4 linked regions of the Schizosaccharomyces pombe genome follow. The protein of the gene in region 1 interacts with the protein of each later gene in a pairwise test. Each region holds a gene or a part of one and is shown in the gene's direction. Other genes may lie near its edges.

Region 1 (5,029 bases):
ATGGGGCTTTCTCTTTTTAAAGAAGAAGCACGCTTTGCTTGTCTTAATTTCCTACGAAATTTTATACCCATTCTGGACGAACAAAAATTTAGAGAAAAGCATTTAATTAAACTAGTACTTGCTAGTATAATTGTGAATGTACCTTCTTCAGAAAATCGGTTGAGCACGTTAATGGCTAACTTTTATGCTTTCAGCTTGACCGTCATGATGAAACCGACACATCCATTATTTGTAGGAATTAATCGTTATTACCTGCAACGTCAACATGTTGATGTTACAGATATACCGATGTACTATGAATTACTTTATCCATCAACAGATTACACCAAAAGTGTTTACTGGCTACTGACTCTATTACATGCTGGTTTACAAACAAATCAGGATTTAAAAATATATCTTCGACGACACGTATTTGAAATGATATGTACTTTATACAACTCATGTGTAGTCAACAGTGAAATCCGAACACTAATCGAAAAAATATTGCTCAAGGTTGTGGCATTGGGAGGAGGCCCAATGTTGGTTAAATACAATGCAATATACCCTATGCTACAAATGGTCATACCAAGTTTTCAAGAAACAAAGGAAAATACCGTAGTATCGACCACGTAAAAAGGGAAAAGAGAATAAAAGAAAAAATTTTTGGCTGCTAAAATTTAGCTAACTAAAATTATGGGATTTGCGGGGTTGAAAGGTTAGAGAAGGAAATAATAATTCATTAATAGCGGCACGATGATAACTTGTAATTTCGTATCTCGACTAAAATTCTAATAAATGTAAAAATATCTGCGATTGAGTTGACATTCGTAGAACGCGCACATCGTATGAAAAATTTGTTGTTCAAGAAAAAAAGATGAAGTCAAGGGAAGGAAGAGAAGTTTCATGCACATAAAAATTTAGAGACCATATCTAATGGCCATTTCATTTTGATAAGTCATTTCCAAAGGAATAGGGGCAGCATATATGTCGGTTTCGTCTAGGACAGCCTCACGATTGGCAAGAATATCTAAATGAAAGTTTGCAGATCCTCCTAAAGCCAAAGGACGAGAGCTCTATGCTTGAGTCAGTAAAACTAAAGAAAAAAAAAGAGGGGGAAGATATAAGTGCAACAATAAGTAAATATAGCACTATATTAGTCTATACATTAATAACCTACCTGTGAAGCGAGTTTCTGTTCCATTTCACGACGCACAGGCTCATGCAAACCGTAAATTCTACGCATGCTATCAAGGCGAATTTGTTGCTGTTGAGCCTCCCAATTCTTTAATCGACTTTCTAGAGGATGTTTATTTTCAACACGGTGTACAGCTGGAATGCTGGGCTCTAAAACTGAGACTTTGAAGTTTCCAGATACTTCAGCAGCTGGTTCGACGTCAGGAACAATCTTCATTATAAATCTGTGAGATCCTTCAATTCTCTACTTTGTCGAGTATATGTGGTTTAGGATGAGTTTCTACAATAGTGAATCCTCTCTCGTAAGCCTATCGTTACCTTGCATCTATGTTACCTGTTACGACTAAGATTGAAGTGTTTTACCCTTACTATGGAGGACATACTAAGCTTGCATGCGATTACTAGCAAGATGGAGCCAACTTAACCACTACCACCATATTAAAATAACACAAAAAACCATCACAATTGGTATTAACTCGTTCCAAAAAAGGCGATAAGATGTCGCAGGTTATTCAATATTCAGAAGCAGATTTGCTATATCTATCAAAATCGCCGCTCATAAAAAAACCAGAAAATCTGCCTGAATGGATTCTGTAAGTTAGGGATGCTAAATAATCTTGGTTGATGAAAACACCTTCGAGAACCAAAGTATGGAATATTGGCTAACGTTTTACAGTCCGGAGGCTATGAAGGCAGATCGTGAACGGCACATTCGCCAAGAAAAGGAAATGAAAAGGTAGGGCAGAAATATGAATACTGTGAATTTCGCGACACAAATTGATTTTAGTTCTTTATTTGCACTTCATAAGTTCTTTAGAGATTTTATACTAACAAATTTTTGTATAGACATGATGATGATGGACGACAATATCAGTCAGATCGTAAATTCGCTAAATCAAGTAAGTCATTTTGTTTACTATTTTCTGTCGACTGTTAACATAAAAAATTGTCTGTATTGACTATGAATCCTTACAATGCACGTTCAAAAAGATGCGGCAAAAATGTCATATGGTTGTTTACTACAGGATTGATTATAATGTGAATCCATTCTACCTTTTTCTGCATCAGATATGAGGTCGATGTGGAATTCGTGTTTTTGACGTTGCTTCCTTGACATTGTCGATAGATTCCGTCTCTTTGTTGAAATCCTTACTAACGTTTCTAGAACACGACGATATTATTCTTGGGCCACCGAAACTTAGTTTTGCTAGCAGTAATGAGAATGGCAGGTCTGTCGGTCGCCATGATGATTTGCTTTCTTTGGGAAATGTGTATAACGGTGTAGCCTCTCTCCGTTATCGAAATGGCGCTTCTGTATCGCGGTCGTCATCCATTGGTCATTCCGGTTCTACTGCACCATGGAGTAGTGTAGGACGACATAATCGCAAGAAAGACAATGAACATCGTGATGAGATGGAGGGGCTTGAGAAGGTGATGAAACAAAGGGCTGGTAATACTGGCCCACTTGTTGCAAATTCTACTGAGGAATTTGAAGCATGGAAGCGTATGATGAAGGCATCCTCTGGAGAAGCTGGAGCAGGTAATGTTATAACACCCGGCGTCACTTCCACCACTGGAGCCCCTTCAGGAAAAGCTTCGCTTTCTAGAGCTGCCTCTAATTCTTCAACCTCTGCTAGAGCTGGCATTAGTGTTGATTCTCTGTTTGGAAAACGCTCCGCTGCCCAAGCGATGGCTACTGTCGTACCCTCTGTCAGTACACCTGGTGGTACCCCTCCTCGCTTTGCTTCTCCGGCCCTTACAGTTGAATCCATGGTACATGCCGCACCCAGCACAACCACTTCTTCGAGGTTTAGCAAGTTTTTTAACGGACTGGCTGGCCCTGAAACTTCTAAGACTTCTACACCAAATATGTCAAATAACCCATCTCCTCGAGTTGCAAATACCGTTGTTTCTCCTGCTCCTATTCCTACTATAGGTTCTGCTACAATTGACAAAGACGCCGAAGGATTTCAACGCGTCTTAGCTATGCTTGGCAGACAAGCATCAAGCACGACAGGCTCTCCTAAGGTTGCTTTGTCACAAATGCCTCAAGTTAATGTCAACCCTTCCAATCAAGACCTTGCCTCGGTAAAGCAACCTTCTGGGTTTTCACCTCCGTCTGCAGTTGCTCCTCCTCCTGGTTTAGGTAATCACAACTTTTCTAATGATGATTCTTCCTTCTTTCGATCTCTTATGACTTCTGATACTCGATCAGTCCCTCCGCCTCCCGGCTTTTCTACGAATGCTCCTAAAGCAGTTAAATCTCCGGAAATTTCAGCCCCTCCAGGTTTGTACCGTGGTCTGTCCTCTGGAGCTTCTATTCCATCGGCACCCCCAGGTTTCGGATATCAACAACCATCTTTCCCATATTCCCCTGGATTTCCTCCATCTGCTTATAATCAAAATCGAACTGGTTATGGATTTCCAGATACTTCTAGACCACCACATTAAAAAACAGTGTCCTTAGCACGACGGTGTGATGAAGTTTCTCATTTGACTATAGTAGTGGGTGTGTATGCATGTATGCTCTGCGCAGTTGTTATTCCGTCTGCAATGTCGGTAAACTCCTTAACATAGACTTTGCTTTATGATTTCTGATATAAACCGGAGACCTTTGAACGATTTTTCCTTGTTTTAGGAATTTTTAATATGTGAATTAATTAGTACATATGGCTTTTTTTAGAATCTCCTTGTGGTTTTCAGAATATACTGCAACATCGTCATTTGATGAATGGATACTGCGTAAAATGGGACAGAAGGATTTTTAATTAACCGTTTATGAAGATAATTTTTAGGAGTCGTTAGGTCAGTTTATAAAATAGGATTAATCGGATGTTTTAGTTCATGAGTCTAAAGTATGTGATTAAGATGAGTATTTTGGTTATACGCAGTTTTGGGAACTTGTGTCATACCAAGGTATAGACAAAACAGTTCATGATAGATAGAACTAAAAAAATTCCACTTCTCAAAAGTATTATAAATGTTAAAGCATGGATCTGATCAATTGTTTGGCTAGCTGCTGGAATTTTGGTTGCTGCTAATCTACAGTCATTGGTTTCCCGGCAATGTTTTACTAAAATTTTTGTGAACATGTGTTTTTATGGATGTGTGCTCTTTAAAAAATTACATCTTTTCGAGAATCAATGTGTTGAAAACTTAGTTCTTTACGAGAATTCTACTCTAGCCAAACTGTTATCTTTTGGATATACGAACTAGAGAAAGCATCTCTAAATTTTTAGACAAAGTGATACTGCTAGCCGAAAAATAATGAAAGGTTGTTTTTCACGTTTATGTTTGTAATTAATGCGTACTAATCAAATCACATTTTCCTAATGTTTAGATGTGAGATTGGGGTTTTTGTAGGAATATATATTATTTTCTTAATTCATATTTATTTTTTTAATAATTGGCTTCACTTTGACTAAGCGTCATAAAAGAGATGGTATTTTCAACCGATAGAATAAAAGAGTTGTTTAAATGGGAATATACATCGCTAGATCTTTTCCAGTATATTTTTTACAAAGTGCAAAACTATCTTCAAAGTAATATGAAAACATATAAGTGATAAGGCGTATTGCAAGGATTACAATTATTTTTGGACATTTACACCTATGAATTTGGGTAAATCTATGTATGAATCAAACAAACTATAGACAGCAGAGATAAAGGCTCTATAAATGCACCCACGTTTACTCCTATTAATCTTATAAAATTTTAGCACAGAATTAATTGTGTAAAGTGATAATTAAGGCAGGATTGAAAGTTGCGTTTCGACAAAAAAAAATATATATTTATATATAAGTGTGTATAACTCGTAAACCAAGAATGTTAGATGCGATCACCTTTATCCATTATA
Region 2 (3,431 bases), on another chromosome or scaffold:
ATATTTCTGAATCCAAATTAAAGAAAAGAGACGACAAGCTTAAGCGTGTCTCGTCTCAATTAGAGCATTTGAAGCATAATTATGAAGAAGAAAAAAGTATGAATGAAAATTTGCTGGTTCGCATTCAGACATTGGAAAAGCAAAATACAACAAAGAGCGATCAGATCGTTTCAATGCAATTTCAAATTAATGATCTTAATGAGCAACTTAGAGACCTTATGTTTACTATTTCTGCGTCGCAGGAGATTCAAAAAATGGGCCAATCCGAAGAATTACAGAATGGAACCATCGTTCTTCCTAATAACTCTACGGTCAGGTCTAATTCTGTTAAAAGTAAGAAGAAGAAGAAAAAAAAACCAGTCGTTCCCAGCAGTTCTGGTTCACTAGGTACAGACTGATATATTTTTACTACACATTTACGAGAATAACGTTTCATTTTTTCAATTTATGTTTGCATATAAAATAAAAATATTTATTCTTTTTGTTCTTATTACTTTTGTAAAAGTCAAAGCTGTTTCAGCTGGTTTTGGTAGTCCCTTTTTCAACAATAGTAAGAATCTCGCGCTTATTTCAATTGTCAACCATCAATTTCGAACAAGTTTAAATTTACGAGGAATGAGGAACAAGTGCATACATTTTCACAGGAAACAATTCTTCAGGAAAGCCATGTTGCAGAGTTTCTGCTACAACTACTAGGTTTGCCTTTTTAAACAGGGACTTCAGAGACTGTTCACAACGTGTTACGCTACTATCAATAGGATCAAAGGTGTCCTCAAAAGATGAAACATTTTCCTAAGAAGTCAGTTTTTTCCTACTCACATATGGGATACGAACCTTTACGCAAATGACTCCCTTCTCTTGAATTGCTTCACAACAGCGGCTAAGATAGGCAATCAAATCCTCATCTGTGAGATGGGACAAACACCATTGGTTCCAAATCAGCCCTAAATTTGTTAAAATTTGTTAAGATGACAAGCAAAGAAGTGGATCCTAGAGATTAAGCCTCATCTTGGACAAAATAAAAGCATCTAACTGATATACATACCATAACGGTTTTTTTCTGGAGTCCAATTTTGTAATCCGACATTTATGAAAGAGCAAGGCTTGGTTGCAAGCTGTTTTTTTGCCGTGGATATGAAATTTTCAACAGGTTCCACAAGATCGACATGAGAGGCTATCTTCAAAAGCACATTTTCAGTGACCCTTCCTATACCTGCACCACAATCAGCGGCCACTAAGTTTTCGATTTTTCCTATACGATAATTGAGACGATTGAGAAAAGTTCGTGATCCCACTACATCAGTTTGAGGAATCTGTAGAATGTTAATAATACAAATTATTTAAATAAATAGTCTTAAAAAAAGATAGAGATGTAACAGTAAGTTGAGATTGAGTCTTTTGAACGTTTACACCCGTTTTCTAAAAATATAATTCTCTTGGTAAATTTTCTTTTACATACACGACCAGTTCCCAGCCCTCCAAGCATTCCATCTACAGTTGGTTGAACTCCATTCCAATAGCTATTAAATTAGCCAAATTCTGTAAGCTTTCACATACTCAATCGCATCGCTATAAAATTTCTCGGGGTCCATTCTTTCTAGCCAGAACCATGCAGACTGAACAACCACCAAAAGAGTCACAGACCGAAAATACCGTGTCAGAACCGCAAGAAAAAGCTCTGCGGACGGTTTTTGATGACAAAATAAATTTTAATTTGAAGCATCCTCTTGCTAGACCATGGACTTTGTGGTTTTTAATGCCACCTACTCCTGGCTTGGAATGGAATGAACTGCAAAAGAACATAATTACTTTTAATAGCGTAGAAGAGTTTTGGGGGTAAGTAAATTGCTTATTCATTATTGTGATATTATAAATTGCTTTAACATTACTAACATTCGATTCAGAATCCATAACAATATCAATCCTGCATCTAGCTTGCCTATTAAGTCTGATTATTCTTTTTTCCGTGAAGGAGTTCGTCCAGAATGGGAAGACGTCCATAATAAGACTGGAGGTAAATGGGCTTTTCAGAATAAAGGCCGTGGAGGAAACGCTTTAGATGAGATGTGGTTAACTACGGTAGGTTTGATTGTTTTTAATGCTATGAGAAAAAGGTTTTTTGTAATATTTTTATTTTAAGTGAATACTAAAAACAGTTTTTTCACTCTTTTCTTTACTTTTTAATTTTTGGTTCGCAGCTAATATATCGCTAGGTTCTCGCGGCCATCGGTGAAACTCTCGATCCTACAGGCCAAGAAGTAATGGGTGTAGTTATTAACATGCGTAAAGGATTTTACCGTCTAGCAGTTTGGACCAAGAGTTGCAACAATCGTGAAGTGCTTATGGAAATTGGTACTCGTTTTAAGCAAGTTCTCAACTTACCCCGATCGGAAACTATAGAATTTAGCGCTCATGAAGATTCTTCCAAGTCTGGTAGCACTCGCGCCAAAACTCGCATGAGTGTTTAAATGATAAAAACGCTCTTTGTTTACAAAATAACTTTGGAGTTTAAAAGGTCCATGCTGCATAGCTAATTTGCTTATAATTGAAGAAAGGGAATTATTAATTAGCAATATACATATATTTGTGCGTATTGGGTGTATATTCCCAGGGTTTAAAAAAAGTTGATTTGAATTAATTTGTTTTACATTACTTTTCAATAGTATTGTATTATCATTACAGCGGAAGTACAAAAAACGACCTTATTGAATGGGTGGATAATTTTCGAATGTAGGAGTGCTGATGAGTTGCAGATGTCTTATCTGCTTTTCTGTAGGTAAAAGCATGTGAGCTAAAAAGTGGTCGAGGAATGAGATGGGAGAGACTGTCTAATCAAAAATCGTTTAGTTTTCCTTTTACATAATAATATTGAAAAAACGAGCGTTGGTGTCCCTTCTCTTCAATTGTTTGCATAATCGTAATACAGTATTCAAATTAGCAATGAGGATTCTTTCGGTGCTTTTAAATGTGACAATTCTGGTAATTATTTACTTTATATTCAAACACTTATCCATTTTGTTAAAAGGTTTGTTTGCTTCTTGTACTTAACTTTGAATCTATATGATGATTTTGTAAATAGTGTATTGAGAGAGAAGGAGAGTCAAAATTGCTTTAATTATTGCAAAAAAGTGTCTTACAAATTCAGCTATGCCACCATAAAACTAAGAATTTATTGCTCTAAAAAAGAAGCATTCCCTTGGCGAAAAAATATTGGGGAAAATCTACCAAGGGGCCAATTTCTTGTTAGACTTTTGTTAGCCCTCCTTCTTAAGTTCTTTCAATTTCCCTAATAATTGAATGGTATTATTTCTACCAGTTTACTACTTATTTTAATTTTGTTGTACAAATCATAGATATTATTTTACACAGTTTTATAATAGTGAAATCCGTTAGTATTTTTTCTAAGTATTATTTTTTATTATTATAATGGA
Region 3 (3,765 bases), on another chromosome or scaffold:
TGGCTTAGATGCATTGGATATCAGGTAAGTTACTACTTATAATTAGGAATTACAAAAGAATAGCACTCAAATATTTTAAGCCGCTGCATATGATTAAACGAGATTGAAACAAGTATTTGTATGTCCTTTATAGTACTCGATTGTGATCCTTTCTTTAACTTCACCTTATTTTTAATAATAATAATCTCATTGAAAGGACAGCACATCATGTCTATAAAGGGAAATATCAATAGGAATTGTTGACTTGGCTGGTTTAGCCTGTATCTCTTTACGAAATCTTTTTGTTAATAGTTCTATACTGTCATGCAACTTTTACTAACTAATAAATCTCAGCCATCAGATTTGAACCGACTAAATGTCATCCATGTTGCTGGAACTAAAGGAAAGGGTTCTACATGTGCATTTACATCCTCAATATTACAGCAAATACAGAAGAGTGGAGAAAGGTCGATTCCAAAATGCATTGGTATGTACACTTCTCCTCACCTCCGATCTGTCTGTGAACGTATTCAATTAAATGGCAAACCTATCAGTCAAGAGTTGTTTACTAAATATTTTTTTGATGTATGGGAGCGCCTAGAGAATGCTGTCGGTAGTGATTCGGAAAAGCCAATGTATTTCCGATTCTTGACACTAATGGCATGGCACGTTTTCATTTCAGAGAATGTCGATGCCGCTATCATTGAAGTTGGGATTGGTGGTGAATACGATTCTACAAACTTAATTGAAAAACCATATGCCACAGCAGTTACAAGCTTAGGTCTTGACCACACGTCTTTGTTGGGGAACACAATAGCAGAAATTGCTTGGCAGAAAGCTGGAATCTACAAAGAATCAGCTATTGCCTTAACTTGCGAGCAAGCTCCCGAGGCTATGAATGTTTTAAAAAACCGTGCTGCTGAACGAAATACATCACTTAAGGTAGTCATACCTCCTGCTGAATTAACGCCGGATATGATTGGTCTTTCAGGAGTTCATCAGCTTGGAAATACATCCCTTGCAGTTTCTTTAGTCCAAGAATTCTATGAAAAGGCCGGGTGCCCTTTTGATAGAGATCCATATCAGGATCCAGCAATTTTGGACGGCCTCAAGTATGTAAAATGGCCTGGAAGATGCCAAATTGAGGAAATCAACAACATAAAATGGTGTTTTGATGGAGCCCACACCAAGGAAAGTTTGGAGGCCACTGGACTTTGGCTCGCATCCAAGAAGAATCTTTATGAGGATGCAGATGCCCGTATTCTTCTGTTTAACCAGCAAAGCAGGGATGATCCAATTGCTTTACTTAGGTCCTTCTTAAAAGGATTGGAAAGCTCGGGAACTGGGATTTCGTTTACGCATGTTATATTCTCAACCAATGTCACCTGGAAGGATGCAGGCTATAATCCAGAGCTGTTAAGCATTAATACCATTACTGATAATAAGCCCGTTTTGCATGTACAAGAGGATTTATGTAAATGGTGGAAAGAATCGAAGGGCACGACTAGTGAAGCAACAGTAGCCCCTACCATCCAAGAAGCTATTGAGACAGTGATGTCAATTAAGCAAAAATCCAGGAATACTTTTGTTTGTGTCACCGGAAGTCTGCATTTAACTGGTGGTGTTTTTGTAGTACTAGATCAAGCTGTTTTTTGATTGAAATGGAGAAAGGTTCTACATTTTGCAACATTGTTTTTGAGATTTAAATGATTCTTAGATATACAACATAGCTTTATGCATCTTTGTAATTACAAAATGATTTTTAACAATTTGACACGTAAGGGGAACAAATTTGATTTCACGAATTATAATAGTATGCAGATAAAAAGCTGTGTGAAATTTGATTATACTCGTGCATTTCCAATCAAACAAATAATTTACTGTAAAGCTTTAAGGCTGATTATTGACTTTTTATATATACTTAGCCAATATTTAAGGTATGAATGTACAATTATATTTTACAGGAACAGTGTGTTGAAAGTTGCTTTTGCTTGGATCTCGTAACCCAATTACGACCACCGCATCTTTTCAGCATCCAGCCTAGTTTACAAACTGCCTATTATAAAAACGTTTTAAGCTCTTTTAATATTTTTGTTTTTTTAAAAAAAGCAAATGGCAGATGCAGAAGACTCGCGTCACTCAAAAAATGAGGGTTTTCCCAACACTTCCTTAATCACAGAAAAACTAGATCTATTGGATTTATTTGGGTCACCAAAAGTTAAAACTGAAAGAGAGGGACGTCCAGCGCGCCTTCTTGAAGGTCTATCGGCTGTTAATGCTGAAACTGCATTTGTAAAAACACACCCCCTTCAGCATGAATGGACATTGTGGTTTTTGAAACCACCTACACAAGGTCTTGAATGGAGTGATCTTCTTAAAGAGATTATTTCCTTCAAGACAGTGGAAGAGTTTTGGGGCATCTTTAAGACGATCTCAAAAGCTTCGATGCTTCCCGCCAAATCGGACTACTCTTACTTTTTGAAAGGTATTCGTCCTGAATGGGAGGATCCTCAAAACATGAATGGTGGGAAATGGGCCTACCAAAGCAAGCACAAAGGTTCAAATCTCGACGAGTTGTGGCTGTATATGGTAAGTCATGGTCTGTTCATTTTAACTGCTGTGATATCGACTTTACAGAATGTTAATTTTTAAGTTGAAAGTATTAACGTATGGAAATAGGTGCTGGCAGCCATTGGAGAAACATTAGACCCTACTGGGAAAGAAGTTACTGGTGTAGTTTGCAATATGAGGAAAGGATTCTATAGAATCGCTGTATGGACACGAAATTGTAATGACAAAGATGTTTTGGAAAAAATCGGGTATGTGAAGTTTTAAGAGTAACGTGTTGGTAGTTGACTGGACTAACAAACATGTAGCCTGCGCTTTAAAGAAGTTTTAGGGATTTCTGATAAAGAGACTATAGAATATAGTGCTCATGAGGATTCATCAAAGGCTGGTAGTATGCGAGCAAAAACCCGTATGAGTCTTTAATGATATCAAGTTTCAAGTTTTTATTTTTACTTTCTAAGGCTTGGTAAATTATAGGGGTGTTCATTTACGAATGACAATATGTTATTGCAATCATTGCCCTCTTGTTTTTGAGACCTCTAAAATACCAAGCTTATTGAGATGAGATAGATGCCTCTTTACAGTTAGTGTATTCGTATGAATAGTTTAATTTGTTATATTTGTTGAGCATTTTAATAGGCTAATGGATATAATCTATATTTGACCCTTCTCTTACGTTATAAATATTAAAATTCTATCAAGAATGTAAATATGCTAGATCGCCAAATCTTCCTATTATTCATAACCGCCTGTATATTAAACATTTATCGCTAGCTTATTTCAAGCTGAATAATGTCTACTATGATTTTACTATTTCCGAGGATCTAATGTAATGTTGGAACTAACCTTTATCGCTAAGGATCCATGAATGTTTGAATCAAACTAAAATTTCGAAATAATAGGCGACCTTCATTTCTTCTTATCATTGTCGAAATCGGATAACATTAATTAAGAAGATAGCCCTTTTAATCGAATTAATGCAGCGCTTAATGAGTACTGGGAAAAGTGGGGAAATTTACTTGCAACTTCTGTATGCTTAGAATTAGATATCTGGTGAAGAAGTATCTACAATCAGACTTTTCAATGTACTGTACGGAATATTGTCGAGTATCAGTGCACCACTTCAATTCCAAATCTATCGCTTCGCTTATACTCAAAGTTTTTTAAACAAATAAAGCTCAGCACTAACTTCATCATTTGGTTAATCAGCAATTAGCA
Region 4 (7,808 bases), 820 kb from region 1:
ACTCTTTACAACAATGGTCAAATTTCAACTTTAAATGATGAAGAAGTTGTGCAGTTAACCTTAGCTAAAAAAATCCCTCTTTATGCTTTAGAACGAGTACTTAAAGACGTTACCAGAGCTGTTGTAATTCGCCGAACGGTCGTCTCCCGTTCATCTAGGACGAAGACACTTGAAAGCTCTAATTGCCCCGTCTATCATTACGATTACTCTAGGGTTTTGAATGCATGTTGTGAAAACGTTATAGGTTACATGCCCTTGCCCCTTGGTGTAGCTGGTCCTCTCATTATTGACGGTAAGCCTTTTTATATCCCTATGGCTACTACTGAGGGTGCATTGGTTGCTTCTACTATGCGTGGATGCAAAGCTATTAACGCTGGTGGTGGTGCTGTTACTGTATTGACTCGTGATCAAATGTCCCGTGGACCATGTGTGGCTTTCCCGAATTTGACGCGCGCTGGTCGTGCTAAAATTTGGTTGGATAGCCCTGAAGGCCAAGAGGTTATGAAGAAGGCTTTTAACTCTACTAGCCGTTTTGCTAGACTTCAACATATTAAGACTGCTCTAGCTGGTACTCGTCTTTTCATCCGTTTCTGTACGTCTACCGGTGATGCTATGGGTATGAATATGATTTCCAAAGGTGTTGAGCATGCACTTGTAGTAATGAGCAATGACGCTGGTTTTGATGACATGCAAGTGATCAGTGTATCAGGGAATTATTGTACAGATAAGAAGCCTGCTGCTATTAATTGGATTGATGGTCGTGGTAAAAGTGTTATTGCTGAAGCTATTATTCCTGGTGATGCTGTCAAATCGGTATTGAAAACTACTGTTGAAGATTTGGTTAAATTAAATGTTGACAAAAACCTCATTGGTAGTGCTATGGCTGGCAGCGTTGGAGGATTTAATGCTCATGCTGCTAACATTGTCACGGCAGTATATTTAGCAACTGGTCAAGACCCTGCCCAAAATGTTGAAAGCAGTAATTGTATAACTTTGATGGATAATGTTGATGGTAACCTTCAGCTTAGCGTGTCAATGCCATCCATTGAAGTTGGAACAATTGGTGGTGGAACGGTTTTGGAACCGCAAGGTGCTATGCTTGACTTGCTCGGTGTGCGAGGTGCCCATATGACCTCTCCCGGTGATAATTCTCGTCAACTAGCACGTGTCGTTGCAGCCGCCGTAATGGCTGGTGAACTGTCTTTGTGTTCCGCACTTGCTAGTGGCCATTTAGTTAAATCCCATATCGGACTCAATCGAAGTGCGCTGAATACTCCTGCTATGGACTCTTCTGCCAAGAAACCAGCGACTGATGCTCTAAAATCCGTTAACTCTCGAGTACCGGGACGTTGAGGGAGCAAGCTTGTTTTATAATATTGTCACATACACGATGATGACAAATTTTTTTAATTTTGATCTCCCCTAAAAAGTTACATCTTTGAACTGTTATGCCTCAGGAAAATTAGCTTTAAATTCTTTTCCATTTTTTATATATTCATCTTTTAAAAGAATATGGTATATCCATACAAGTATGTAGTTTACCTAGTGAACGCTGATTTATAGCTTAGGTAAGAAGACGTAAGGCAATGTATATTGCTTATGTCTAGTGACACAAACAAATGGATTATATTATACGGACTTATATTAGTTATCTCAATAAAGAATTTAAATAGATTTTTAATTGTAATGGTTTTATGACTTGAAATTGAATTTATTAGGGTATCAACTACCTCGTCGCTACACACCCATCGACTTACATTGCACCACCATAATAGGTAAGAACGTGTTTCAAACAAAGGTAGCGTCTCTAAACTGAAAAAATAGTTAGAAGCTATTTGTTTGAGGCAATGCACGATTCTTCCTGGACAGAAGCTGATATACTCGGGGTATGCAGTTTTCTAGACATACCAAAGACAAAAATTGATCCTTTACTTCAGGTGGACGCGTTTACATCCATATTAATACCTTTAATTAGTAAAAGCAAAGATTATGAAAGTATAAAAAATGATCGTATAGTTACAGAAGTCAATTACGAGCAACAATTGCGAAATTCGGAGAAGAAACTACTTCAATCAAACGAACGTTACGATTTATTAGAGGATGAGCGCAAGCTTTTAGAGAATGAACTCTCTCAAATCAAAGAATATCTTAGGGAGAAATCCTCTTCATATGACACTGTTTTGCACGATTGCAGTTCTCTCAAAAGTGTAAATGAGGCATTAAAACAAGCTCAGGATCAAAATTTGAAGCAAACTGCTCAACTTCAAAATCTTTTATCAGATAAAGAAAAGGAAGTTGAAAAGAAAATCACTATCATTAAAGATCTAAAGGATGCCCTTGCCAGTTCTACCCATCAAGTTTTGGAGCTTCAACATACACAACAAGAAAAAGCATCTTTGCAGACTAACTATGAGTTTGAGTTGCAAAAATTAACGCAGAAAAATTCGATTTTGGAAAATAATAACACCTGGTTAAGCCGAGAGCTTCAGGGTGTGAACGACAAATTGTTATCTCTTCATCAGGAGGCCTCTTTGGAAAAGTCTCAACTAAGTTCTCAATTATCTGACGCTGTTTTGGAAAAAGATGCGCTACAACGGAAAGTGAGTTCTTTGTCTCAACAGTTTACAGAAAGTAATTTACGATATCAGAATATTGTAGCTGAACTCTCCGAAATGCGAAAGCAATATGAGTTTTCGCAAGTTTCTTTTGAAAAAGAGATTTCTTCACAAAAGCAAATTAGTGAGTTGTGGATGGAGAAATGTGAGGATTGCTCTTTACGGCTCAAAGAGTTGCAGAACTCAAACGGCGAGTTGGAAAAGCTATTGGAAGCTGCACAATCATCTTTTGAAGAACAGCTTGAATCTCATAAGGAAGCAGAAGCTTCCTTGAAATCTCAAATCAATTTTCTAGAGAAAGAGGTATCAAGTTTAGAGTCTCAGCTAAAGTTGGCTAATGAGCGTCTTCGGCATTATGATGAAATAGAAATCTCAGATATGAGTGAATTGAAATACTCAAATTTACTAAATAATAGTATGAAAGGCTTTAAAGGTCAGTCCTCCGTCTCTGACTTGTATTCCGAGCGTTTATACTATAAACAGAAGTATGAGCAAACATGTCAAGAGGTTGAAAGGTTACAACGTAGCTATAACCATGTTATGGAAGAAGCGAATCTTCAGCATCCTTTGGTTAAAGAACAGTTTAAGCGATTTGCTCATATGCAACGGGAAATTGTTGCAATGAGTGAGCAATATCAGAAGTCATTGGAAGACTGTCAGAAAGCCAAGTCCCGTTACGAGCAATTAGAGACACTATTTAAAGATAAATGCACAGAGAATAAGCATTATGAGCAAGAGACCAAAGATTTAGCGCGACAGGTGCAAGTTTTACTTCATGAACTCGATTTGTGTGAGAACGGCATAGTGCTAGGCGTGGATAGTAGAAAGAAGATTAACTCCTATGTTGAAAAATCGCTCACTGAAGATGAAACTGATACGGATCAAATAATTTCAAGCAGGCTAGTTGTATTTCGTAATATTAGAGAATTGCAACAACAAAATCAAAATCTACTGTCTGCAGTTCATGAATTAGCTGATCGTATGGAGAAAGACGAAAAACCTGATCTTGATGGAGCCGAGATTCAAGAAGAAACACTGATAAAAGCTAACGAAACTATTGATCAACTTACTAAAATGTTGGAGGAGGTGAGCGATCAGTTACGCTACTCTTTAAAGGAACGAGACTTTTTTAGATCACTAGTTCAAGAGAATGAAAAACTTTTAGATATGGCGCCTGCAACTCCTAATTCCAAATTGAATACTAATTTAATTGAGCAGACTTCTTACCAGCGTTCGCTTATTCGACTTGAACAGCTAACTAATGAACTGGAGTCCCTTAAGTCAATTTCTCGTAACAAAGAAAAAAAGTTTGAGGAAGCTATCTCATCTCTCCAGCTCGAAAAATCTAATATTCAATTGCAACTTACCTCTTTAACATCTGAACGAAGCTTAGCCCTTGAAAAGCTAAATGATCTGGAAAAATCACTTGTTTTATCTGAAAGAAGTAAAGATGAACTTGATGAAAGCTATAAGTCTTTACAAGAGCAACTTGCTTCTAAGAAAATTGAAGTTCAAAATGTTTCTTCTCAATTATCAATCTGTAATAGCCAGCTTGAACAATCCAATCATATTGTTGATAATTTAAAAAGCGAAAACCTGCTTTTAACTTCCGTCAAGGATAAGTTGAAAGCCGATTTATCTAATTTGGAGTCGAAACTTTCGTCCCTGCAGCAGGATAATTTCCATATGAAAGCTCAAATTGAATCTTCAAATCAAGAGTATACGGCAACAGTGGACTCAATGAATAGTCGAATACTTGAACTTTCTAATGATCTTCGAGTTGCTAATTCAAAGCTATCTGAGTGTTCCGATGATGTTCGTAGACTTACTCTACAAAATTCATTTGATTTGAGGGAGCATCAAACATTGGTGCTTCAACTTCAGTCTAACATCACTGAGTTAAAACAAGACATAACATTGCAACGCACCGTGCGAAATCAGTTAGAAATACAAACCACTGAGTTGAAAGAGCGCTTAAAGTTTATGGAAGAACGGCAGGAGAACTTGCAATCTAAATTAATCGCGGCTAATAAAGACACGACACAAAATCCTGATAATGTTGAAGTCGAGGCTATATCTATTGAACTGGAAAGGACGAAGGAAAAACTTCGCATGGCCGAGCTTGAAAAGAGTAATATTCAACAAAAATACCTCGCTTCAGAAAAAACCTTGGAAATGATGAATGAAACCCATGAGCAGTTTAAGCATCTAGTAGAATCTGAAATTAGCACAAGGGAAGAGAAAATTACGTCCCTTCGCTCTGAGTTGTTGGATCTTAATAAGAGAGTTGAAGTACTAAAAGAAGAGAAAGAGTCTTCGTCCAAGGAACTTGCCAAACAACTTGAGGATGCTGTTCGTGAAAAGGATAGTGCACTTTCTTTCAAAAAAGATTATGAAAAAATTCGTTCAGATGCGGATCGTGTTATTACCTCTTTGAAAGAAGATATTGAAAAAGAAAGATCTCTAATGAAGGAGTGTCATTCTAATTACGAATCAGAGATCGTTAGTCATGGGCGTACCACTCAAAAATTGCGGGATTTACGTACTGAATTTGACGAGGTGAATACGAAATATTTAAAGCTCAAAGCAAATTTTGAACAGCAGCACTCAGGACTTTCAGGTGCTGAAAAGGATTGGAATATTCAGCGGAAAGCCATGGAAGATGAAATTAGCTCCTTGAAAGATTACATTTTGGGACTTGAAAATCAAAATAAACTACTACATTCGCAATTTGATTCTCTTAGTCAACAAATAACTGTTCTTCAACAGAATTCTTCTGAAAATTTAAATATATCTGCCAATTTAGAAGCCGTTCAAGATAACGATTTACGTGAACTTGTTAGCTACTTGAGGCACGAAAAGGAAATAATGGATAATAAATATGAGTTAACAATTCTGGATAATAGAGGTTTGAATCAACAAGTCAAGTCTTTGCAATCCACCGTTGATTCATTGCAACTCGAGCTCAACCGTCTGCAGTCTCTGCCTGTGTCAAATGACCAAACAGATACCCCCATTATCAGCGGAAGTCAAGAAGTTCAGTTACTTTATGAAAGTAATAGTGTCCTTAGAAAGGACAATGATGCTAAACTTGGAAAAATACAAGAGCTGGAGAAAGAGGTTGAAAAACTGAATGCTTCATTGAATCCCTTACAAACTGAAATAAATGAACTTAAGGCAGAAATAGGCGCAAAGACAGCAAGTCTGAACTTAATGAAGGAATACAATTCTCGATGGAAATTAAGATTTCAGTCCGTTTTGAACAAGTATGAGCGTGTTGATCCCACACAGTTAGAGGAGTTAAAGAAAAATTGTGAAGCATTAGAAAAAGAAAAACAAGAGTTGGAAACGAAACTTCAGGAGACAGCAAAAGAAACCGATACATTTAAGCAACAGGTTAATTCTCTAAACGAAGAGGTGGAAAATTTGAAGAAGGAAGTTGAGCAGGCAAACACCAAAAATACTAGATTGGCAGCTGCTTGGAATGAAAAATGTGAAAATTTGAAAAAATCCAGCTTAACAAGATTTGCCCATCTAAAGCAGGAATTGACCAACAAAAACAAGGAGTTAACCTCTAAGAATGCTGAAAATGAAGCAATGCAAAAAGAAATAGAGTCTCTAAAGGATTCCAATCATCAATTACAAGAATCGGCTTCCAGTGATGCTGAACAGATCACGAAGGAACAATTTGAACAACTCAAGTCGGAGAAGGAAAGAACTGAAAAAGAGCTAGCAGATTCTAAGAACGAGCTAGAACACTTGCAATCTGAGGCTGTCGATGCTGACGGTAAAACTGAAATTTCAAATCTTGAAAAAGAAATTCATGAATTACGGTCTGACAAAGAAGGACTTGTGCAACAAGTACAAAACTTGAGTGCGGAATTGGCAGCTTTACGAGAGCATTCACCGACCCAAGGAAGTTTAGAGAATGCTGATGAGATTGCAAGGCTACGTTCACAACTTGAATCTACGAAACAATATTATGAAAAAGAAAAGGAAACCGAAATTTTGGCTGCTCGCTCTGAACTCGTCGCAGAGAAAGAAAAGACAAAGGAAGAGTTAGAAAATCAACTCAACGAAAAGTCACAGAGAATAAAGGAACTTGAGGAACAAGCTCAAAAAAATTCTTCGGAAAATACTCATGACAATATTGATGACATGATTAAGCAGCAGGTTGAAGAAAAGCTTAAAGAAAATTCTGCCAACTTTGATGTTAAGTTGAAGAAGGTGGTAGCTGAGACAGAATTTCGGAGCAAAGCTAAAATATCTGTGTATGAGAAGAAAACTAGGGATCTTCAGAACAAAATTACACAACTTGAAGAAACTATTGAGAATTTGAATAAACAGCTATCCAATCCTGAAAAGACTGATGAATCTACGTCTTCTGTAACAGAAACAAAGCCTGTTACTTCCAAACCAACAGCTAGCAAAGCTGATGTTGGTCAGAATGCTACAGAAGCTTCGTCAGCCAAGAGAGAACCTTCCGGTAAATCTCTGAGTGCAAGACTTCAAGGAACAGGCAAACAAAAAGGTGTTCAACGACCCGCTGTTTCGCGTCCTGTTCCTATGAAACCAGACAGTGGAAAACTCTCAATAACTGGAGCTTCCAAACGAATTGCTACTTCAAAGAATGCTGCCCAAAACGCTAAAGAACTGTCAAGCACTGCTAAATCCGGCTCCCTTAAAAGACAACGTGACGATGCGAACAAAGGAGGATCCAGTTCGAACCAAAAGAAAGCAAAATAGATGTTTTCATATGGTTCATAAATCACTCTTAGGACTATTCATATTTAGTTAACATGATTTATAATAATGACATGAGTAAATTTTGTATTATAAAATTTTTGTCTTATTTGTATTTCTGATTCTTACACAGACTGGTTTTTGCTATTTCTTGATTTTGCAAAGTAAGTACTTTTTCGACTTACTTATTCCATTATTATTAGAGATAAGATAAGAAATGCACGCTAAAAAGTAAATTCACTACTTAAAAATGTTACCACGACTATTTGCAGAAGTACAAATTCAGTCAAAATCTACATATGAGTAAGAGAACAAATGTCAAAACTAGAATAGTTAAATTTAAATGGATTGTTAGTCCATGATAATTACAGAGAATAAAGTGAACTAAAAAACTCGGTCTTAAACAAATTGCGATAACTTTATACAACAAAAAAGAGAAGGACCATCATT

Evidence for each region.
Region 2: the proteins of eap1 (region 1) and tif45 interact in a two-hybrid assay, tested with the Schizosaccharomyces pombe proteins (one large-scale study listed by BioGRID).
Region 3: the proteins of eap1 (region 1) and tif452 interact in a two-hybrid assay, tested with the Schizosaccharomyces pombe proteins (one large-scale study listed by BioGRID).
Region 4: the proteins of eap1 (region 1) and nup211 interact in a two-hybrid assay, tested with the Schizosaccharomyces pombe proteins (one large-scale study listed by BioGRID).

What each region holds. Positions count from the first base shown.
Region 1 is NC_003421.2:747,141-752,169, forward strand, and holds eap1 (eIF4E-associated protein Eap1), read left to right. Parts: upstream 1-1,590; 5' UTR 1,591-1,671; coding exon 1,672-1,766; intron 1,767-1,814; exon of another isoform or gene 1,815-1,849; coding exon 1,850-1,909; exon of another isoform or gene 1,910-2,019; coding exon 2,020-2,072; intron 2,073-2,151; exon of another isoform or gene 2,152-2,338; coding exon 2,339-3,624; 3' UTR 3,625-4,503; downstream 4,504-5,029. Other genes in the region: ribosome biogenesis protein Urb1, read left to right, coding at 1-612; proteasome maturation factor Ump1, read right to left, coding at 897-1,052, 1,157-1,390.
Region 2 is NC_003424.3:3,526,550-3,529,980, forward strand, and holds tif45 (translation initiation factor eIF4E tif45), read left to right. Parts: upstream 1-1,603; 5' UTR 1,604-1,609; coding exon 1,610-1,836; intron 1,837-1,904; coding exon 1,905-2,079; intron 2,080-2,213; coding exon 2,214-2,468; 3' UTR 2,469-2,897; downstream 2,898-3,431. Other genes in the region: SPOM_SPAC16E8.13 (ubiquitin-protein ligase E3), read left to right, coding at 1-398; AdoMet-dependent proline dimethyltransferase tae1, read right to left, coding at 607-792, 835-944, 1,046-1,313, 1,460-1,520, 1,558-1,592. UniProt on the Schizosaccharomyces pombe protein: Recognizes and binds the 7-methylguanosine-containing mRNA cap during an early step in the initiation of protein synthesis and facilitates ribosome binding by inducing the unwinding of the mRNAs secondary structures.
Region 3 is NC_003423.3:1,132,408-1,136,172, forward strand, and holds tif452 (translation initiation factor eIF4E, 4F complex E subunit isoform 2, stress response factor), read left to right. Parts: upstream 1-1,986; 5' UTR 1,987-2,091; coding exon 2,092-2,568; exon of another isoform or gene 2,569-2,658; coding exon 2,659-2,798; exon of another isoform or gene 2,799-2,855; coding exon 2,856-2,970; 3' UTR 2,971-3,212; downstream 3,213-3,765. Other genes in the region: met7 (putative folylpolyglutamate synthase), read left to right, coding at 1-24, 334-1,635. UniProt on the Schizosaccharomyces pombe protein: Recognizes and binds the 7-methylguanosine-containing mRNA cap during an early step in the initiation of protein synthesis and facilitates ribosome binding by inducing the unwinding of the mRNAs secondary structures.
Region 4 is NC_003421.2:1,563,795-1,571,602, forward strand, and holds nup211 (nucleoporin nup211), read left to right. Parts: upstream 1-1,755; 5' UTR 1,756-1,847; coding exon 1,848-7,361; 3' UTR 7,362-7,456; downstream 7,457-7,808. Other genes in the region: 3-hydroxy-3-methylglutaryl-CoA reductase Hmg1, read left to right, coding at 1-1,353. UniProt on the Schizosaccharomyces pombe protein: Functions as a component of the nuclear pore complex (NPC).